3 linked regions of the Stegostoma tigrinum genome follow. The protein of the gene in region 3 purifies or fractionates together with the protein of the main gene of each other region. This does not show direct contact. Links are inferred from orthologs where the notes say so. Each region holds a gene or a part of one and is shown on either strand. Other genes may lie near its edges.

Region 1 (7,677 bases), on a different chromosome or scaffold from region 3:
CATTAGTGAACAAGGTGGGTTTTAATTCTGACAATCAACAACAGATTCATAGCAATTGTTAGACAAATTAATTACAGATTTCCTTTTTTGAATTCAAGTTACTCTTTCTGCTGTGACAGGTTTCGAACCGGAGTCTCTGGGTTAACAGTCCGGCGAGTGCCTCCTCTGGAGCTGACTGGCCTAAGAACTTTTGAACTTTCTGCCTCCATCTCTTGTTGCAAAATGTTTGCAATCTTCCAATCTACTGGAACTATCCTAAATCAACTGGGTTTTGGAAGATTAAAACAGACACTAACTTTCTCATTAAACCGCTTCCTTTAGGAATATAGGATGATGTTCAACAGGACTGGTCAGATGCAACTCCAACAACTTGCTAAGTAGTACTGCCCTGCTTGCAATTTTTTTTGGGAGTTCCTCCCTCCACTCCATTTCTGGATTTACAACTATTCCTGGGATGTCACTACTATCTTCTATAGCTAACACCAATGTAAACTACCCATTCAATTCATCCATCTCATTAATGCTCCAAACTCACTTTCCAGAGATCAATTCTTAGTCTGTTAACTCTTACTGTCTTTTATATTCCCACCTGGCTTCACTTATACTCCCTCTTTAATCTTTTAGCCGTTCTTTGCTGTAATGTACAGTGTGTCTAATCTTCTGCCTTGCCACCCAGCTTTTTCCTTTCGGGTTGATACTATTATTAACTGCTTTTAAGTTAGACATGGGCGACCAGTCCTCCATTTGGAATTTCTTTTTTGGAACTAATCTCGGTATTTTGAAATATATCTAATTTCTGTCACCGCATCCATTAACATATCCTTTATCTACCTACAGCACATGCAATACATGGTTCAAGAATGTAGCTCATCACCACTATCAAAGAATGGGCAAAAAAAAAGAAATTGATATCCACATCCCATAAGTGAGTTTAAAAAAAACAAGCTTGTCAGTTAATATCTACTTTTGTGTCTTAATCAACTTTGAAATAGTATTGGACACAGCCACCTCTTCAAAATAGGATATAAAATTCTGATTTTTACTGCTCCCGAGCGACAAGCGCACTCCAAATTAATCCCATCACATTGAACAACACTAGGTCTAGTATTGCCTGTCCTGAGGTTGGGTCCAGAACATGTCATTCTAAATAAAAAGAAAGAATTCCCTGCCAGAATGACTGCCAGACTACTCGGACCTCTTGGCATCAGGGTAGCCCACAAACCCACCAACACACTAAAACAGCAGCTAATGAACTTAAAAGACCCTGTACAGACAACAAAACGAACATCATCTACAAAATACCTTGCGAGAACTGTGACAAACACTACATTGGACAAACAGGCAGAAAGCTAACCATCAGGATACATGAACATCAACTAGCCACAAAAAGACATGACCCACTATCACTAGTATCCTTACATACAGATGAGGAAGGACACCACTTTGATTGGGACAACACATCCATCCTAGAACAAGCCAAACAGAGACACGCACGAGAATTCCTAGAAGCATGGCATTCCAACCAGAACTCCATCAACAAACGCATTGATTTGGAGCCCATCTACCATCCTCTGAGAAAAAGAACAGGAAATGACATCACCAACCCAAGGAAACCTAAACAGATAAATAGAAAGCAGGACATAACACCAGCGCTTCGTCGGAGGCTCACTGATGATGTTACCTAGAATGGTGACGAAACGTCTGAAAACGAACCTTCCAGCTCAGCGAGTGAACTCACACCCAGAACCTTAACGTGAGCTCCAAATCTTCTCAAAACTCGCTAAAGAATTCCCTGATTTACAAACAGTCGTATTTACAAATACAATCCTATGTGTTGTTACAATTTTGAAAACCCAACATATAAATATTCAAGCTTCAAAATCTTCCTTCCTGTTACCTCGTCCCAAAATCAGTCAAGCTTGTCCACACCTCCCTAACCCATCCTTCCTCCCACCTGAAGCCCCACCCCATCTCCTACCTACTAACTTCATCCCGCCCCTTTGACCTGTCCATCCTCCCTGGATCGACCTATCCCCTCCCTAACTCCCCACCTACATTCACCTTCACTGGCTCTAAGCCCACCTCTTTGACTTGTCCGTCTCCTCTCACCCTATCTTCTCCTTTATCCATCTCCGCCTCCCCCCTCTCCCTATTTATTTCAGAATCCCCTTCCCCCATTTCTGAAGAAGGATCTTGACCCAAAACAGCAAAAAAAAACTTTCCTGCTCGGTCTGCTGTGTTCATCCAGCTTCACACCTTATTATTTTTAATTAGGTATAGATGGGGAAAAAAATTCAAAGCAAAACGTTTAACTATGACTTCACCAAACAGGACAGAATTTGCTCATTTGTTGTAAGACCTTGTTTTTTTAAAAAAACCAATTAGGGAGGGATCTGACAGAGTATAAAGGTTTGAACAAATAGCGGAGTTAGACAACAGTGACAAGAAACTGAATTTTTCACAACTCAAAAATGCAGAACATAATTCTAAATGTAAGTATTTTTTCATCCAGTAATTTTCTGCACCACCCAAATGTATTTCAAAACTGGGCTACTGGCGTGCCAAGCATATAATTATGTAAACTGCACCAGCTACAATGGCTTGCTGTTTTTTTTTGCAGTTTCTAAATTTATTCGTGAAGTCGCACTGATTACAAAACCCCAGAATATTTAATTATAAGCTCGTTACCTCACTGGAGTTAGGTATAGCAACTGACAGCTAGACCTGTACTTAAAATACAGTACGACCAGCGAGAAGGTCCCTTTAAAAAAAAAGTTACGTTTCAATACGAATTCAATGTTTTTTTCAATCAAACTGGTTTATGGTAGTGTTCGTAGGCTCGAAGCTCTAATTCTTTTTTTATTTCCTTCTGCACTTTTCTCTCACTTGGTTGATTCTCAACTGCGTTTCTAATTTTTCTATAAATTCGCCGCATACGATCCGGAGTTCCAGGGTTACACCACTCCCGGGATTCTGCTGAATTCCCTATTGGGCATATTCGCTGTGGTCACGACCCGTCTTTTCGGTCTCAATCTACACAAACGTATCATCTAGGTATGAAAGCACTTGTTGCAATGAGAACCACACCTCCACCTCAAGCCCAGAAATTCGGAACACGGAAATACACAATAATTAAACGGCAAAAAAGTTCGTTACCTGTTTAAACAAGGCAATAATTCTCCAGTGAAGGGGCGGGGCGGGAAAGGAGGAAAGAAAAATGTTTCAATTTCACAGCCAGTTTTAACAATTTGCACATTGACTGACGATCAATACAGCGAGGAGAGCCAAAATATATACTGTTTTCTTAAACAAACAATAACCTTTTGCAGTGCTGGTGCCCCTGGATGAATGAGCGAGCAGCGTAACTTGCACAAGAAGTAACATCGCAGTGCCGCAGACCGGGCCCGGTACTGCGCAAGCGTCACGAGTTGCAGCCGGGCCCGGGTAAGCACATGCGCACTGGAACCCAGTGACGGTTGCGTGCGCGTCTCACTCGGAAACCATGGTAACCGGGCCTAGCCCAGGACCGTACTCAAATAACCGCCAACGGCGGCGACTGTTGTGGTTCGCCTCCCCGCCCCTTTCAACAACTGCCCTTACATCAGTCCGACATCTCTGGCCTCAGGCAGTTGGCTCCTCCTCATCGACTCCAGCGCCGGTGACTCTATCACCACATTGCGACTGCATTTGAAGTCATGCGAACGTTACAGTCTTTCCCTCCCTCTCTCACGGTTTTATTTGAAGCAGGTCGACGCCGGCGCCTTCATCCAAAGCGGAAGCCAATTGGTCAAGACCGGCAGTCGGCACGTCGAGGAGTAAACCCAACGATGATTGGCTTAGCTGGTGGTAGTCATCTGTTGGTGAGTTTTGAGAAGATTTGTAGCTCAGGTTGAGGTTCTACAGAGGTACTTAGAAAATCTTTTCTGAATGGTCTCATCCTAATTCTCAGACTATGTCCCCCATGTTCAACAATGCCCAACCAGGATCCCACCTTCCACCTCTGGAAAAACTAATGAACTCAACTTCTTCCCTGAAATTAAGGTAGTGAGTTTGCTCGCTGAGCTGGAAGGTTAGTTTTCAGACGTTTCGTCATCATTCTAGGTAACATCATCAGTGAGCCTCCGATGAAGCGCTGGTAGCCACCAGGATACATGAACATCAACTAGCCACAAAACGACATGGCCCACTATCACTCGTATCCTTACATACAGATAAGGAAGGACACCACTTTGATTGGGACAACACATCCATCCTAGGACAAGCCAAACAGAGACACGCACGAGAATTCCTAGAAGCATAGCATTCCAACCGGAACTCCATCAACAAACACATTGATTTGGAGCAAATCTACCATCCCCTGAGAAAAAGAATGGGAAATGACATCACCAACACAGGAAATGACATCACCAACCCAAGGAAACCTAACCAGATAAATAGAAAGTGGGACATAACACCAGCGCTTCGTCGGAGGCTCACTGATGATGTTACCTAGAATGGTGACGAAACGTCTGAAAACTAACCTTCCAGCTCAGCGAGCAAACTCACATCCAGTAGTCATCTGTCCCCGCGACTTTGCCGCTGGTCATGTGGTCTAGAGCTTGTGCCAGTTTTTGCCTAGCCTCAGGGCAGCATAGCGAGAATGCCAAACCGAAGGGAACAGCAATTTCCGTTGCATGTTTCACTCCGTTAATAACTGAGATTAAATGTTACGCTCACTACCTTAATTTCAGGGAAGAAGTTGGGTTCATTAGTTTTTCCAGAGGTGGAAGGTGGGATCCTGGTTGGGCATTGTTGAACATGGGGTGCATAGTCTGAGAATTAGGATGAGACCATTCAGAAAAGATTTTCTAAGTACCTCTGTAATAGATGTTAGGAACTATTTGTAAGATTTTACATTTGTTGCTAAGAAAGTTTAGGTTCCCTTGATTAATTCCAGCGATGAACACAAATGCAGAAGTTGCTGGGAAAGCTCAGCAGGTCTGGCAGCATCTGTGAAGAAAATAATCAGAGTTAATGTCCCTTTCTCACGACTGAATCCTAACTTATTCTTCCTTCACAGATACTGTCAGACCTGGTGAGCTTTTCCCAGCAACGTCTGTTTTTGTTCCTGATTTACAGCATCCACAGTTTGTTTGGTTTTTATCCAGCGATTAAAAAGCTTGCTTTAAGAGGAGAATTTGAGAGGTTTCAGCCTTTATGGCTTAGAGCTGAGGGGAATGAGAGAAGATCCATTTTTAGGACATAAGATGCTTAAGGAAATTGACAAAGTATACGTAGACAGGATGTTTCCCCTTGTGGGACAATAAAGAACAAAGGGTTTCAGGGATAGTAGGAACTGCAGATGTTGGAGAATCTGAGATAATAAGGCGTAGAGCTGGACGAACACAGGTCAAACCGCATCAGAGGAGCAGGAAAGCTGACATTTCGGGCCTAGACCCTTCTTCAGAAAATGAAGAAGTGCCTAGGCCTGAAATGTCAGCTTTCCTGCTCCTCTGATGTTGCTTGGCCTGCTGTGTTCATCCAGCTCTACACCTTGTTATCGTAGAACAAAGGGTCACGGTTTTAGGATAAGGTAAGGTATATTTAAACAGAGATGAGAAGAAATTACTTCTCTCAAAGAGTCATGAATCTGTGGAATTCAGTACAGCAGGTTGCTGAGAAACTGAGCAAATAAGACCATAAGACATAGGTGTGGAATTAGGCCATTTGGCCCCTCAAGTCTGCTGTGCCATTCAATCATGGCTGATAAGTTCCTCAACCCCATTCTCCAGCTTTCTTCCAACAACCCTTGATCCCTTTGATAATCAATAACCTATCTATCCCAGTCTTAAATGTACTCAATGACCTGGCGTCCACGGCCTTTTGTGGCAGGGAATTCCATAAATTCACCACTCCTTGGCTGAAGAAGTTTCTCCTTATCTCCATTCTAAAAGGCCTTCTCTTTACTCTAAGGCTGTGCCCTCGGGTCCTACCAATGGAAACATCTTCCCAACATCCAGTTTGTCCAGGTCATTCAGTATTTTGAAAGTTTCAATTAGACTCCCCCTCATCCTTCTAAACTCCAGTGAGTATAGCCCCAGAGTCCTCAAATGTTCCTCATATGTTAAGCTTTCCATTCCTGGGACCATTCTCAGTAACCTCCTCTGAACCCTGTCCACGGCCAGTACATCCTTCCTGAGACATGAGGCCCAAAACTGCATGCAATACTCCAAATGTGGTCTGCCCAGAGCCTTATAAAGCTTTGGTAGTGCATCCCTGCTTTTATATTCAAGTCCTCTCAAAATAAATGCCAACATTGCATTTGCGTTCCTGCTACTGACTCAACCTGCAAGTTTACCTTGCGAGAACACCGGACTAGAACTCCCAAGTCTTTTTGCACTTCAGACTTCTGAATTTTCTCCCCATTTAGGAAATAGTACATGCTTTTGTTCTTCTTACCAAAGTGCATGATCTCAGACTTTCCCACATTGTACTCCATCTGGCAGTTCTTTTCCCACTCTTGACCTGTCCAAGTCTTCCTGCAGCCTCGCCACCTCCTCAGTACTACCTGTCCCTTCACCTATCTTTGTATTGTGTGCAAACGTAGCCAGAATGCCCGCAGTTCCTTCATCTAGATCATTAATGTACAAAGTGAAGAGTTATGGTCCCAACACCAAGCCTTGTGGAACTCCACTCATCACCATTGCCATCCTGAGAAAGACCCCTTTATCCCTACTCTCTGCTTTCTGCCAGACTGCCAATCTTCTATCCATGTTAGCATGCTGCCTCTAACACTGTGGGCCCTTATCTGACTCAGCAGTCTCCTGTGTAGCACCTTATCAAAAGGCATTCTTGAAGCCCAGGTAGATAACATCCATTGGCTCTCCTTGCTCTACCCTGCTCGTTACTTCCTTAAGGAATTCTAGCAGATTTGTCAGGCATGACCTCCCCATGATGAAATCATTCTGACTATGTCCTACTTTACCGTACACTTACAAATATTCAGAAATCTCATCCTTCACAACGGACTCCAAAATCTTGCCCGCGACCAAGGTTAGGCTAATTGGCCTGGATTTTCCATCTTTTGCCTTACTCCCTTCTTAAACAGGGATGTCACGTTAGTGATTTTCCAGTTCTCTAAAACCCTCCCTGACTCTAGTGATTCCTGAAAATTCACCACTAACGCTTCCACTATCTCCTTGAGAACTCTGGGGTACAGCCCATCTGGTCCAGGGAACTTGTCCATCTTCAGGCCAATCAGTTTTAGTAGCATCTTTTCCATGGTGATGGCCACCACACCCAGCTCTGCCCCGACTCTCTTGAATTTTTGAGATATTACTTGTGACTTCCACCATGGAGACTGACACAAAGTAATTATTCAGTTCCTGAGACAGTTCCTTGAGGAAGCAGGTAGATTCTTAATTAGTTCCAGGTTATAGGGAGCGGTGGTGTTGGGTCCAAGCTATGATCAGCCATGATTGTTTTAAAGGACAGAGCAGGCTCAAGAAGTTGAGTTGCCCACTCCTGCTTCTAGTTCTTAGGACTAGTAGAGTCCAATTCTTAACAAATCTTCACTCTGTCCTCATGCAGTTGTCCTTGCATCTGGACCTAGATTGCCTACACTGATTCCGAACCCTGAGTGATACTTCCTGAAGTGAGAAGAATTTTGCTACATGGGAAGGGACTCGTCAGCCCGTG
Region 2 (8,182 bases), on a different chromosome or scaffold from region 3:
TAAAAATAACCTAGCCATTTATGTCATTTTAAAATAGCCTTACCGAGTACTTCCTTGAAAGGGTTTTCAGATGTGATTGGAATTCTACAGGTTGGGCACTGGGTACTGTTTTTCAGCCAAGACTGCATACACATGAAACAGAAAACATGGTTGTTCGAACAGATGACTGGTTGACGAACCTAAAGCGTTTGCAAAACGAGTATTAATTGAAGTTAACACATTCACACAACTGAGTTGTGTTAAACAAACCATATCACATCTGATATTTAAGTCTGCTAACAGTGTCATGATAGGAACGTAGAAAATAGAAGTAAGCTATTGGCCCTTTGAAACTTCTCTGCCATTCAATATGATCACAGCTATTCATCTAACTCAGTACCCTGTTCCTATTTTCTCCCCTCCCCTTTGATCACTTTAGCCCTAAGAACTACATCTAATTCCTTCTTGAAAACATTCAATGTTTTGGCCTCTGCTGCTTTCTGTTGCAGAAAATTCCACAGGCTCCCTAACCTCTAGGTGAAGAAATTTCTCTCTAAGTCCTAAATGGCCTACCTTGTATCCTTAGACTGTGACCTCCTCATTCTGGACTCAACAGTCATTGGGAACATCTTTCCTGCATTTAGCTTGTCTATTCCTGTTAGAATTTTATAGATTTCTATAAGATAAAATGATGAACTGGTGAGAGTTATAACTCCAAAAACAAACTGCAACTACTTACAAAGCAACATCCAGAAAGTCATAATACTGTAATCAAGAGATTGACATTACCTCTGCTCACGTGTAACCAGTAAGTAAACTTCTCAAACTTTTCGTCATAATGATAGAAATTAAAGTTGATCACAGAGCTGATTTGTGTCTTGCTCGAGCAAAGTTCTTGTATTCCAGTCCCAGTCCAAACTCGAGCAAATAACCTAGGTCAGCACTTCAATGTATTAAAACTCTGCGCTGTGGAGGGGATGACCTTGGGATGCAATTTAAGCAGAGGTCCCAGGTGCTCTCTCAGTGAATATAAACTGATTTTCTGACTCTGGCCACTATTCACTCCTATGATGATACTTAAATCAAACTATCTGGTCACTATATCATTGATGGTTGTGAAAGCTAACTTTGTGCAAATTGACCCCTGTGTTTCCTACATTACAATGATCACATTTCAACATTGTCACATTGGAGGTAAAATGGCAAAGAGGTCATGAGACTGATAAAGGTTGATAGATGCAAGTATTTATTTTTGAACTTTTTTTGTACTCACGCAAATAGTCTTCAATAAGCACAAAAGAGCAATATCTTGCAAGTACATTCAAAATAATGTGAGGCTGGATGAACACAGCAGGCCCAGCAGCATCTCAGGAGCACAAAAGCTGATGTTTCGGGCTTTGACCCTTCATCAGAGAGGGGGATGGGGAGAAAGATCTGGAATAAATAGGGAGAGAGGGGGAGGTGGACCGAAGATGGAGAGAAAAGAAGATAGGTGGAGAGGTAGGGAGGGGATAGGTCAGTCCAGGGAAGATGGACAGGTCAAGGAGGTGGGATGAGGTTAGTAGGTAGGAGATGGAGGTGCGGCTTGGGGTGGGAGGAAGGGATGGGTGAGAGGAAGAACAGGTTAGGGAGGCAGACACAGGTTGGACTGGTTTTGGGATGCAGTGGGTGGAGGTGAAGAGCTGGGCTGGTTGTGTGGTGCAGTGGGGGGAGGGGACGAACTGGGCTGGTTTTGGGACGCAGTGGGGGTAGGGGAGATTTTGAAGCTGGTGAAGTCCACATTGATACCATTGGGCTGCAGGGTTCCCAAGCGGAATATGAGTTGCTGTTCCTGCAACTTTCGGGTGGCATCATTGTGGCACTGCAGGAGGCCCATGATGGACATGTCATCTAAAGAATGGGAGGGGGAGTGGAAATGGTTCGCGACTGGGAGGTGCAGTTGTTTACTGCGAACCGAGCGGAGGTGTTCTGCAAAGCGGTCCCCAAGCCTCTGCTTGGTTTCCCCAATGTAGAGGAAGCCACACTGTGTACAATGGATACAGTATACCACACTGGCAGATGTGCAGTTGAACCTCTGCTTAATATGGAAAGTCATCTTGGGGCCTGGGATAGGGGTGAGGGAGGAGGTGTGGGGGCCAGTGTAGCATTTCCTGCGGTTGCAGGGGAAGGTGCCGGGTGTGGTGGGGTTGGAGGGCAGTGTGGAGCAAACAAGAGAGTCACGGAGAGAGTGGTCTCTCCGGAAAGCAGACAGGGGTGGGGATGGAAAAATGTCTCGGGTGGTGGGGTCGGATTGTAGATGGCGGAAGTGTCGGAGGATGATGCGTTGTATCCAGAGGTTGGTGGTGTGGTGTGTGAGAACGAGGGGGATCCTCTTAGGGCGGTTGTGGCGGGGGCGGGGTGTGAGGAATGTGTTGCGGGAAATGCGGGAGACGCGGTCAAGGGCGTTCTCGACCACTGTGGGGGAAAGCTGCGGTCCTTGAAGAACTTGGACATCTGGGATGTGCGGGAGTGGAATGCCTCATCATGGGAGCAGATGCGGAGGCGGAGGAATTGGGAATAGGGGATGGAATTTTTGCAGGAGGGTGGCCTACGGAACCGGATCATCCCCATTGGGCTACAATCAAGATCCTTTCTGTTTGCTGTCACACATGGCTACGCCACGATTAGAGTTGACAGGGAAATAGTACATACTGGAAATAAAACTACTTTCTTCATTGTGGAATGGTTTGAAAGTGACTTCGAGTTATGTATGGCAAATGTCGAGTCGAATTAAAAATATACAAAATGCTTTAAAAATTACTGGGGGAAAAAAGCACAACGTAACAGTTTCTGGAAGTGTTCATTGACATGAATTTTCTGACAGAGTTGTTCAAGGATCCGGTTGCCATTCAACAACACGTTTTGACCAAACGACAAAATAATGCGGAAGTGATAATTTAAACCTGAAAAAGAGAGTGTCCACCGATTTCCGTTCCTTTCCTTTCTGAATTTTACAGCAGCGCACAAAGGTTCACAAAGTTTGCAACGATTTAAAGAAATGAACTGGGTTCTTAAAACAAAGAGTAAAACAAAAGTTTCCGGTTTCTCGTCCCAATTTTCGACACCATTAATTTTCTAAGCTGCAATCAGCAGGGGACGGGGATGGTGGATTCACTTCGAAAAGAAATATATGTTTTGTTTATTAAAAAAACACTGCAATGGAAAAAGAGAGAAAACATGCATCTTTTCCCGACTGGAGCGGTTGCAATACAGGAAGAGCCTCTCCGCCTCCTTGCACTCTTTACACCACCTCCCCCCACACCCCCGCGGCCGTACAGTACCTTCCCCAAGCAGATCTGACATGAGATGGGCAGGGTGAGGCTCAGTGTAACATTCTGAATGTTCTGTAGCGCTGGTTTCTGCATTGTCTCTGGAATCCCGGCCCGGAGCATGCGACCCAGCAAAACGGGGGGCCCCCGCCCCCAGGACAACCTTCCAACTCTCACTTGCGCTCGCGCCAATCTTGGCTCCGCCCTGTCAACCCAGTTTGCTACAGTAAAATACTGTCTTTCCTGCAACTTCCCCCTTTTCTGTAACCCGAGGCAGGCTAACTAGGTTGGAGTGCGTCCGAAACAAAAATGTATGAACTCAACTTTAAACACTGGCTGTGCTGCAGAAATCCCTCCAGAGAATGACAACAGCAAAGATAGGCTGCAAGCTGTATGTAGAGAAAATAAATTGCAATTGCTATTCGAGAATCATAAGGCCAATTTCACTAATGTAGACCAATATCACAGGTCCCCTTCATCAGAAATTAATTTTATTATCGCGATATTGGTTTATTTTAGCTCAAGAAGTTAACAAAGTGGAAAAATAAGGTACAGGGCTGGAGTACTGTATTCAGCTCTGAAATTGGCCTTCAGGCTGCAGAGCACGTAAACTGAACTGATAATAGGGCTAAAATGTTTAAATTAGGACAGATTCTGTACACTATGCCTTTGTTACTTTGAATTTAGAAAATTAAGGCTGAACTAATTGAGCTGTTTAAGATGATTAAAGAAACTGATTTCCTCTGATAGGTTAGTCAAAACATGAGGCATGACTTTATTTGTTCAAGGATGATGGGAACTGCAGATGCTGGAGAATCCAAGATAACAAAGTGTGAGGCTGGATGAACACAGCAGGCCAAGCAGCATCTTAGGACCCTAAGATGCTGCTTGGCGCTTGGCCTGCTGGGTTCATCAGCCCCACACTTTGTTATCTTTAACAGTTCAAGCTTGTCCATTCAACCCTGATCTAATGAAATGGTTCAACAGGCCTGTTCTTATCCAGAAATGAAAAAAAATCTTTTAAATAAGGGCAGAGCTATAGGGAAAAGATGGAAATCAAAGAGTAAGAAAGAACAAAGTGTGATATGGGTGGAAAGCAGGGATGTTACAAATAAAGCTGGTGCTTTATTTGATGGATTATAAATAATCATAAGATAGAAGAAGCCTGCCTGTCATGACTGTTTTGGCATTTTGAAAGTCAGTGTAGAATTTTCTCTGACCGCTTTCTGCGAGTTTAACAAACAACTGCAGTTGTAGTTCAGTGAGAGAAGAATTATATTAGGAAGGGGTTGGGAATGTGCAGTGAAAATATTGTTGGACTTCACCTCATTTGCACATTTGTGTAGTTGATAAGGATTAAATTATCAAATTGTACTGTACATCAGCTAAGAGATGAAAGTCTCCTTTATAATGATAAATTGGATATGTTGTAGAAAGGAAAATCTTCAAGTTGGCATTTTTGAAGTGTCAAATGCTGTGTTATAGCTGTAAGTAAGAACAAGGAATTATAGTTTGGATGCACTGGGCTCCAGTGAGTCTACCATCACAGTAAAGCAAACACTACAATGATGATTTGTGACAAGAATGATTTAGGGACTAAATGTTTTTACGGTTCTAAAGAAAGATACAAATTTAGATTAGATTGACTGTTGTGGGGATGCTGGGAGTACTCTTCACATTGGGCAAGAGATGCAAATAGCAGATATGAATTAATGTTATTGTGAGAAACTAAGTTGTTCTTTGCATAGGCTAAGTATTACAAATATTGGGTCAGATGTTTTAGTAGTGTTGATTCAGTGACACGTACTTTGGCTAAGTCAAGTCACAGAGTATTACAGCATGGAAAGAGGCAGATCAGCCCACTGAGTCCACGCCAGCCTTTAAGGATCTACTTTTCTAATCCTGTTTCTCAGTATTTGTTCCATAGCCCATTAAACTGTGGTGTTTCCAGTATTCATCTAAATACTTCTTAAATGTTGTAATGATTCATACGATGCTTTCATGCAATGAGTTCCTGATATCCACTACACTGTGTGGAAAAAGAATTCCATGAATCCTCTCTGAACTTCCTGCCCCCTGCCTTAAATCTGTGCCCCCTCCACTAAGGAGAGCTATTTCTAACATAACTATGTATGCTGCTCCTGATTTTGTAGTCCTCAATCAATTCCCCTCAGCCTTCTGTGCTCCTCGTAAAATAACCCCAGCCTGTGTAGTCTCTCTTTACAGCTGGAACACACCAGCCCAGTCAACCATCCTGGTGAATTTGTTCTGCATCATCTCCAGAGCAATCACATTTTTTCCAAAAAGTGGTCACCAGAACTACATGCAGTATTCCAGTTGTTTCTTAGCTAACTTCCCATACAGCTCCATCATTCCATCCCAGGTCTTGTATTTCACGCCTTGATTAATAAAGGTGAATACTCCGTATGTCTTCTAAATCACCCTTCTTAATCATTTGTCCAGTTGCCTTCTAAGATCTGTATACAGGTACTCCAAGGTCCCGCTGATCCTTCACACCACACAGGATCCAACCATTCATTATGTACATTCTTGCCTTGTCAGTCCTCCCAAAACACATCACTTCATGCCTTTTAGGCTTAAACTCTTTCTGCTTTTGTTTCACCTATCTGTTCAGCTTGTCTGTATTTTCCTGTAGCCCAACTCTTTCCCATTCACTATTTACCACGCTACCAATTTTAGTTCATCTACAAACTTACTGATAAAATCTCCTTTACTTCTGCCCAAATCATTAACATCCATTAAAAACAAAGGGCCCAGCATTGAACCTTGTAATACACCACTGGATACAGGCCTCCAGTCATAGAGCTATAGAGTCAGACAGCATGAAAGCAAACCATTTGGTCCAACACTTCCTTGCCGGCCATAATCCCAAACTAATCTAGCCACCAGCCTGTGCTTGGCCCATATCCCATCTAAACATTTCTTGTTCATGTACTTATCTAAATTTATTTTAAACGTTGTAACTGTACTACATCAGCCACTTCCTCTAAACTTTCATTCCACACATGAACCACTCTCTGTGTAAAAAAAATTACCCCTCATGTCATGTTTAAATCTTTCTCTTCTCACCTTAAAAGTATGTGCCCTTGTCTTGAAATCTCCCACCCTAGGGAAAAGACACCTGCCATTCACTTCATCTATACCCCTCCTGATTTATAAACATCTGTATGATCTCCTCTCAACCTCTCATCTGTGACCCTTGGTTATGAACTGTCACAGGGAGCATCCTTCCTGCATCTCCCAAAAAATATCTTCAACCAGCACCCTCTGCTTTCCACCACTAAGACAACTTGACGTCCAATTTGCCCTGGTGATAAATTCTGTGCCTCAGAACCTTTTCCAGAAGTTTCCTAACAATTGATGTTCAATCACTGATGTATGCATCAGCAGATTTATATGTTCCAAAGCTACCTGGAAAAAAAAGGTTTACAATTAGGGTTGTGAGACTGGTTATTTTTAAATAATTAGCAATATTCATTTAATAGAACAAGTGATGAATTAAAATATATTCTGTATAATTATGGATAGTTGTCAAATAGTTTCATAGAACACAGAACAGTGCAGGCCCTTCGGCCCACAATGTTGTGCTGACCTATTATCCTACTAAGATAAATCTACCCTGCATACCCTACATTTTACTATATTCCATGTGCCTATCCAAGAGTCGCTTAAAAGTCTGTAAAGTATCTGACTGTACTAGCACTGCTGGCAGCGCATTCCACACACCCACCACTCTCTGTGTAAAGAACCTACCTCTGACATCTCCACTGTACATTCCTCCAATCATCTTAAAATTATGGCCCCTCATAATAGTCGTTTCCGCCCTGGGAAAAAGTCTCTGGCTATCCACTCTATCTATGCCTTATCATCTTGTACACCTCTATCAAGTCACCTCTCATCCTTCTTCGCTCCAGTGAAAAAACCCCTAGCTCCCTCAACATTTTCTCGTAAGACCTGCCCTTCAGTCCAAGCAGCATCCTGGTAAATCTCCTCTGCACCCTCTCTAAAGCTCCCACATCCTTCCTATTGAACACAATATTCCAAATGTGGTCTAACCAGGGTTTTATAGAGCTGCAGCATAACCTCACGGCTCTTAAACTCAATTCCCCTGCCAATGAAAGACAACACACCATGCGCCTTCTTTACAACCGTATCAACTTGGGAAGCAAATCTGACGGACCTGTGGAAGTGGACCCCAAGATCTTTCTGTTCCTCCACACTGTCAAGAATCCTGTCATTAACCCTGTATTCTGCATTCAAATTTGACCTTCCAAACGAATCACTTTACACTTCTGGGTTGAATTCCATCTACCATTTCTTTGCCCAGCTCTGCATCCTTCCAATGTCCCATTGCAACCTACAACAGCCCTCCACGCCATCCACAACTCCACCAACCTTCTTGTCATCGGCAAACTTACTAATGCACCCTCCACTTCCTCATCCAAGTTATTTAAGAAGATCACAAAGAGCAGAGGTCCCACAACAAATCCCTGCGCAACACCACTGGTCACCAAGCATCAGGCTGGATACTTTCCATCTACTACCACCCTCTGTCTTCTATTGGACACCTGGTTTTGTGTCCAGACAACCAAATTTCCCTAAATCCCATGCCTCCTTACTTTCTGAATGAGCCTACCATGGAGAAACTTATCAAATGCCCTGCTAAAATCCATATACATCACATCCACTGCTCTGCCTTCATCAATATGTTTTGTCACAACCTCAAAAAATTTAGTAAGGCTTGTGAGGCATGAACTGCCCCTCACAAAGCCATGCTGACTATTTCTAATCAAATTGTACTTTCCCAAATAATCATAAATACTATCTCAGAATCCTCTCCAATAATTTGCCCACCACAGAAGTAAGACTGACTG
Region 3 (7,427 bases):
AAATGTGCTATGAGGCATAGAATTGTGAAAGATACTGTACTGTAAATTAATTATTTTCCAGCATTTGCCGTCACTTTGATTTTTAATAATTATTTCCTTCTTACTCACAAGCTAACTTTCCTGCTCATAAACATATGCACCCAACAAGTACCAACTGTCAGGAACATGCAAAAAATCCTATTTCTGCCAATATTTCCAAGTGCAAATTTAAAACTACAAAGCGAAAGTTTACAGCAGCATTAAGTGGAAAGAAAGTAAACCAATTCATGGCTGTGACAGTTGACATCTCCTTTAAGGGATTTTAACTTCAAAGGGAAATGATCTTCATGAAAAATGAACTTGCAAACTCATTTTCTACTATTGGAGAAGCAATGAGGCAAGATTCGCCATTATAATTTTGATCCTAACATGCATTGTGCTAAAGTATTTGCAAAAAAGGGCAACGCAGATACTTTTTAATGAAATTAGCTGCATTTTAAAAAAGCATGAACACTCAGACTGCAATTATTGGAGAAAGATATTAACTGGAGATGTGGATTAATTGCAATAACGTTTCATATTTAGCAATAGTATATATTTCATTTGTCACTGCCTTATTGCTTTCATTCGCTTATTGCTTCCATACCATGTATTAATCATCCCTGTTATGCAAGGTAAACTTATTCTTATGGAAAAGAAACAAGAAAAACAATGTCCTATATAATGCACAATAATTGGAATCATGAGCTTGCTTAGACTAGATAACCTTTTAAAAATATACATATGACATTCTAATAGGATTCACCTACTCTTGACATTAAAAAGGAATGAAATTGTTCTCTAGTATCTTCTGAAATTTAGTTATTTTTGCAACAATGATTGATCTTGATGTACTTCTGATACATATCCTCGCAAAATGCTTAACATCAATAATCACACTGTATTGACGTAGTCTAGATTCAGAGCACCACATTTCTAAATTCACAGGAAACGGCCTCAATATATTTCGGGGGAAGATTTGCAGTTTAATGTATTAAGATTTTAAACTATAATTTGTGAACGGAAGATCAAATATCGCCAAAAAAAATCAACTGAAGTGCGCTGCTCAGACTTGGACATTACAGCGTATTTAAAACGTTAACAAATAATCGGCAATTAATAATCAATAAGCAATGATTATTTAATCAGATGTTCTCTGCGGTTGAAGCAAACTAAACAAAATATACTGCGTAATTCTGGATCGAACTAAAGCCAAAATTATACAAACTCTCGAACGGCTTTAACCATTGTACATCGACTACAAGGAAGTGAAAAACGGTTTTGCTGCCGTCATCAAATATATATTGTAAAAATGTTTCACTCCACATCGGCGGGAATAATTTAAACATAAATAGTATCAAAATGCTGAATGTTATCAAGTAACCTGAAGAATCAGAATGAAATACAATGATAAGCATTTAAGAGAAATCGAGGCAACTTTCAAAGTTTATAAATACTACAGGCTGTAATAATGCTGCTTTTGAAAAACTGGAAAAGGCAAAGTGGAATATTTCATCCGGATGTATCAACATCTGCTGTAGACACCGAGTGCTAAAATTTCTCTTCCTCACCTGGAGTTAGATAAGTTGTTGAGGTCGCCGTGCGAATGAAATTCAAGCCACCGCTTTACTCCCTGCTGCTCACAGGCGAAGTGCGTGTTGCCCGGACTTCAACTTACCAACATTGTCCGATTCCAAACGTTGTAGAGAAATCAGAGCAGGCGTCTCCGTCGCTTCAGCAACCGGAGAGTGCATTGGAGATGGCTTAATGTTACCTGGGCTGGAGAAAGAGAGGGTAGAGACTGACAGCTCCGCCTGGCTGGGGGCCAGAGGCAGAGTCTCTGACTGTTTATATATATAAAGACTGATTCATTCAGAGACAAGAAAGAGAGTGGGAGAGTACCGCCTGCCAAAGGCACAACCGCCACTCCGGCTTCTCCAGGCGGGAAGAAAATACAATCAACAGGGGAGAGAAAAAGCTTAGAAAAGTAAACAACAGTCGGGGACAGGGCAATGACAAAAAAAGACTTTCAATGCGGACTTTTCTTCCCCCGAATCACAAGACAAAATAATGCAGATAAGAAACAATGCAGATCCAAATGGAATTTACAAAACCAAATGAGGAAGCATTTTATAATGTGAAATATGAATCCATCCAAGCTCTCGGCGGATTTTTAAAATCCTAGGGCAAGTTTGCAAAATAGAAGCAAACAAGCTATATTTGCGTTTACGCAGCATTATTTATCTATAATGTCTCCAAGTGCTTCACAAAATGGGTTTCTTTCGAATTGCAGCGACTGTTCTAATATAGACAAACGGAGGGCAAGCATGATGTGTCGAAAAACTCGAAGAGCGGAAATATGTTAATAACTTATCGATGTATTTTAGTGCAGTTGGTTATTGTGGTTGGAGATGAATATTGGACGGGATTTCTCTTAGCCAATCATGTCAATAAATCTAAAACTTATGTTAAAATAGAACAAGGACCTCGGTGAAATGGTTCATGTGAAGTACTGTCACCTCGACAAGTTAGCACCACCTCAACAGTTGGTCTCGCTAATAGACAAATCCTGGTCAGCAACTTAGTAAAGCAAACACAAATGTACAGATCGAGAAACGTTGAAATTTTAAGATAGCAACAGAAAACTCTCCAATAAAACGTGCAAACGAAGACTGTAAGACAAATGTCAGGAAAATAATTACATATTGGTCTTGTATAAAGTGCACACTTCAGACCAGCGTGACAGTTAGCTCCGAGGAAGTCATTTTAGACTCGAAACGTTAAATCTGCACAAATGCTGTCAGACATGTTGACTTTCTCCAGCACTTTGTTTTTATTTCATATCTTCCAGCATCCGCAATATTTTGCTTTTATGTTAGCTGTATTTACATGTATCGAAACTACCTGTCACGATGTAAATTTTTCAAATTTTCATGGTTTATGGCTGCCATTTTTTTCACCTGGCCTCCTAACACAGTACAAAGGCCTCCAGGTTTCCTGTGGGCCACATTTCAACAATACCCCTTCTCTATTAGGAAAAGTCTCATAGTTTCTTTTGTCGTTTGTACAACAATGCATTTATTGACCAAGCCCCTCAAACTGCCCCAAGAAAATGGTGGTTCTTCCAACTACTATTAGTTCTAGCTGTAACGAATTCCCACATGATGTTAGGCTGGGGATTCCATGATTTGGATCTAATAGTAATAAAGGAAGTAATATGCATTCAACTCTTTAACTAACAACATTTAGTCTGGATAAAAAAAATATGTTGATGGGAAGTGAGCACTCTGAACAAGACTTATATGAAGCTAATATGACACGTGGCTTAAAAATAAATTCATAGGGATAGCCATTCTAAGTTATTATTACTTCTCTGGGTGAGAAAACTCGTGGGCCATTGAAATAAACCGGGTAATTTACTGAAATTCATACAAGAGGTACAATCTGCAGGGCCAAATTATTCGCACAAATGTTTAAATAAAATCCTTTCGTCATAACATCATGGCTTGTGCGCTAAAATATATTTCACTCTGGAAATTTAGATTTTCTCTTTTGTTAAAGTTAATTTTTCATCTCGTTTGACAACTTTATAATTTGGCATGAATTAGATTTTTAAAAAATTAGGCTAAACAAATATTAAGGATACATTACTGTGCAAATATTGAGGATACTTTGTTGTAAAGACACAATTTTGTATAATTATATGAAGCCAAATTTGACAAGATAAAATAGCGAATTTTGAGTCACTGACTCTGATCCTCTATTGAGCAGGAAAATAATAGATACTGCAGGATGTTATTGTATTCGATCAATTTGCTATGACCACTTTTCTTCATTCCCTACCTTTGCTGAAGGAACCTCATTCCCAAATATGACAATCTCAGAAAACGGTTGATCCCGCACACCCGCCAATCATTATAAACTACATCTCCCAGAATGCTGCAGCGGCCGCTTTTTCGTTGTACCCAGATTCCATTGGTGGATATCGTTGTCAATCAAAGCGGTAACTATGTATTTCCTGTTATTTGGCTGTCTTCAGATCCCTTCAGTTGACGGTTCTCTGGAATTTGAAAATTGTTGTAGAGTTAGACGGTGACGTGGATGGTTCGGTCTAATCCAACCAAACGTGACAAGGTGAAGGAGCCGCACAGGTCGAGGACGGAGTGAGGAGGAGCCTTGTTGTGGACAGGCCGAGGACGGAGTGAGGAGGAGCCTTGTTGTGGACAGGCCGAGGACGGAGTGAGGAGGGGACCTCGTTGTGGACAGGCCGTGGTGATGAATTTCTCCGAACTGTTCAAACAGTCGAATCAACTGTGCAGGCTGTCGCCTGACGGGAAATATTCTGTAAGTGTGTGATTTAATCTTAATAGATTCGATAGGGTACACGCAGGAGAAATATTCCTGTTGACCGGGGGTCAGAACCAGGTGATGTAGCCTAACGGCAGGCCGAAAATGAGACATTTCTTCATCCGGAGACTGGTGAACTTGTGGAGTGCTCTCCAACTCGTCCACGCTGAGTTTCCCAACATAAATTAATCCCACTTGCCTGCATTTGGTTTATATCCCACTAAAGCTTTCCTATTCGTGTATCGATCCAAATATCTTCTAAATGTTCTCACTGTACTTGGATCTACCACTGCCTCTGGTAGTTCATTCCACATTCCAACCGCTCTATATGTGGAAACAGTTGGCTTTCAGGTCCCTTTTAAATCTTTTTCCTCCCACTTTTAAAATATGCCCCCCCCCTGCAACCTAGAGAAAAGAGCTTTCCTACTTGCCTTATCTGTGCTCCCTCATGATTTTATAAACCTCTATAATGTCACCCCTCAACCTCCAATGCTTGAGTTTCTTTGTAACTCAAACTGGTCAGTCCTGGTAAATCTTTTGTAAACCCTCTCCAATTTTACAATTATAGCCTATAGCAGGGTGACCAGAACTGTCCACTACATCAAAAGTGCCCTTAACCAACTTCCTGTACAACCTTAATATGACATCCCAACTCCCATACTCAGTTGTCTGAGCAGTGAAGGTAAGTGGGCTAAAAGCTGCCACGACTACCCAGTCTACCGGTGATGCAATTTCCAAAGAACTATGTGCCTGAACCCTAGAGCTCTCTGTTCAACAGTGCTATCCAGGGCCTTAACAATAACTGTGTAAGTCCTGCCCTTGTTTATCTTACAAAAGCGCAATAACCTCTCATTTATCCAAATTAAACTCTATTTGCCTGTCAGCCCATTGACCCAGCTGAAGACGGAGTTAGATATATTTTGGGGCTAAAGGGATCAAAGGCTTTTGGGAGAAAGCAGGAGCAGGGTACTGAGTTGGATAATTGTGTTGAATGGCAGAGCAAGCTCGAAGGGCTGAATAGTCAATTTCTGCTCCTATTTTCCATGTTTCTATCAAGTCAGTAACTAGTTGTTGATAGCTGACCACTTTGCTTCCCTTTTGTATCCTTATTGTCTGTTTTCTTCCAGTTTGGCCCATGTAATGTCTCTCTCAGTCCTTGCGTAGTATTTTGTTTATTACATTAGTTTTATTGGTTGTGGGTATGGGATCCTTTACTTTTGTCTGTTGCTGTCGCAGGGCAGTTGTTCGTTTGTGGGCTACCCCGATACCTAGGGATCTGAGTAATTTTGTGGTCATCTCTGATATGTCTCTGATGTATGGTTGGGTGACTAGTGTGTCTGTCTATGTTATGTGTTGTTGTGGTCTGTTGCAGGTAACGGCAGATTGTGCTTTTTGGTTATCCATTCCTTTTTTAAAAACTGTATAAGTGCTGCTGTTCTGCATTGTGCAATTCCGGATTGCACCATTACCTCCTAGGAAGGGCTATTGTTCTCTTCTATTTTTGTGAATTTTATTTCAGTGATGTTGTTGTTTATGTGCCGGTGGGTTTCTTCTAGTCTTGTGCATATGATAATCACGAAGGTGTCATCTACATAGCGGACCCAGATTTGCGTTGTATAATGGGGAGCCTTGTCCATTCTAACCTTTGCATTATCACTTCTGCGATCAGTTCCCCAATCTCAATGTAGATGACATGCAGGGACTAAGGAACATGGGCCAAACTGAAATTAAGGATACACGAACACCAACTACCCACCAAGAGACATGACCAATTCTCACTGATCTCAAAACACACAGACAAAGGAGGACACAAATTCTACTGGGACAACACCTCCATAATAGCACAAGTCGGACAGAAACATGTTTGGGAATTCCTGGAGGCCTGGCATTCCAACTAGAACTCCATCAACAAACATTTTGAACTGAACCCCATATACAAACTACTGAAAAACAGAGCTGGAAGTAATGCCAACCACCCCAGCAAACCAAGGTATATAAATGTCAACAAGCTTGACAGAACACCAATGCTTCATTGGAGGCACACTGACAGTGTTACCTAGCAAGGTAAAATGCCGGAGGAATCCGGCTTTGAATGCATAGGGGAAAGTACAAAATATCAAATTGAAGAGCAAGAGTAGGTCATCTGACTGTTTTGATCTCGAAGTTGAATCCAGAAGGCAGAAAAGAGCACCTCATTTGCGGATTAGGCATTTTGAAATCATCTGACTCCAACATTGAGTGAGTTCAATAATTTGAGACCATTAATTCCTGTCCTCTATTTTATTATGTTTCCCACAACCCAGTGGCAATCTTTCATGACATGGCTTTTGGTCAGAGCTGATCTTTATTCTGCTATTAAACAGGCTCAGAAAACACAGACCCCAGTGCTGCTCCTATCCTGGGACTCTGATCTGAGTGCAGTAAAGCCGTGGGCACCAGTTATTGGCCCTGATATTGGGATCTGTTCCAGACCCATGCTTTGATCTGTCTTTTGGTTTCTCAACTCCATTATTCTCTAACCCTTTTGTGACCTTATCCTTCCGTTTCACTTGCTTGCTGTCTCCCCACCGAGCCCCCCTCCTTTTCAACAGTATAAATTCTGTCACATTTCCACTACTTCTCTTCAGTTTTGAAGAAAAATTGAAACGGATTTTAAATGTTAAGCCTGTTTCTCTTTCCACAGATGCTGCCAGACCTCCTGAGTTTCTCCTGCACTTTGTATATTTTAACATGGGTTTTTAAAAAAATGTTATCTCATTGAAGTTTGTGAAACCTTACATAACATTGATACCAAGAAGCATATGGAACAGTAAACCTTGGAATGCATGTCCACCAATCACCCCAAAGTGGCTGCACAGGTAGTTAAGGTGATCAAAAAGGCACAGTGAGTGCTTGCCTTTCTTAGCAGAGGAATAGAATAGGAAATCAGATAAGACCCAGCATACCCTACTTATAAATTGATAGTTAGGACACAGCTGTAGTATTACATGCAGTTAGGTCACCATGTCACATCTTGTCCTGTCTAGTATTATAAGAGTTGTGTGAGGATTTTGCCTGAACTG

The links.
Region 1: the proteins of wrap73 (region 3) and ssx2ipa purify together in Homo sapiens (co-immunoprecipitation; 4 studies listed by BioGRID and IntAct, counting the BioPlex papers as one, with this or other methods). This does not show direct contact. The link is inferred for Stegostoma tigrinum from reciprocal best matches to the Homo sapiens genes WRAP73 and SSX2IP.
Region 2: the proteins of wrap73 (region 3) and obi1 purify together in Homo sapiens (affinity purification with mass spectrometry; 3 studies listed by BioGRID and IntAct, counting the BioPlex papers as one, with this or other methods). This does not show direct contact. The link is inferred for Stegostoma tigrinum from reciprocal best matches to the Homo sapiens genes WRAP73 and OBI1.

Annotation. Positions count from the first base shown.
Region 1 is NC_081361.1:98,998,210-99,005,886, forward strand, and holds the start of ssx2ipa (synovial sarcoma, X breakpoint 2 interacting protein a), read right to left. Parts: upstream 3,488-7,677; 5' UTR 3,385-3,487; coding exon 3,321-3,384; exon of another isoform or gene 3,157-3,320; intron 1-3,156. UniProt on the Homo sapiens protein: Belongs to an adhesion system, which plays a role in the organization of homotypic, interneuronal and heterotypic cell-cell adherens junctions (AJs).
Region 2 is NC_081359.1:29,298,611-29,306,792, forward strand, and holds the start of obi1 (ORC ubiquitin ligase 1), read right to left. Parts: upstream 3,488-8,182; 5' UTR 3,411-3,487; coding exon 3,300-3,410; intron 180-3,299; coding exon 44-179; intron 1-43. UniProt on the Homo sapiens protein: E3 ubiquitin ligase essential for DNA replication origin activation during S phase.
Region 3 is NC_081381.1:22,370,691-22,378,117, reverse strand, and holds the start of wrap73 (WD repeat-containing protein WRAP73), read left to right. Parts: upstream 1-4,033; 5' UTR 4,034-4,293; coding exon 4,294-4,362; intron 4,363-7,427.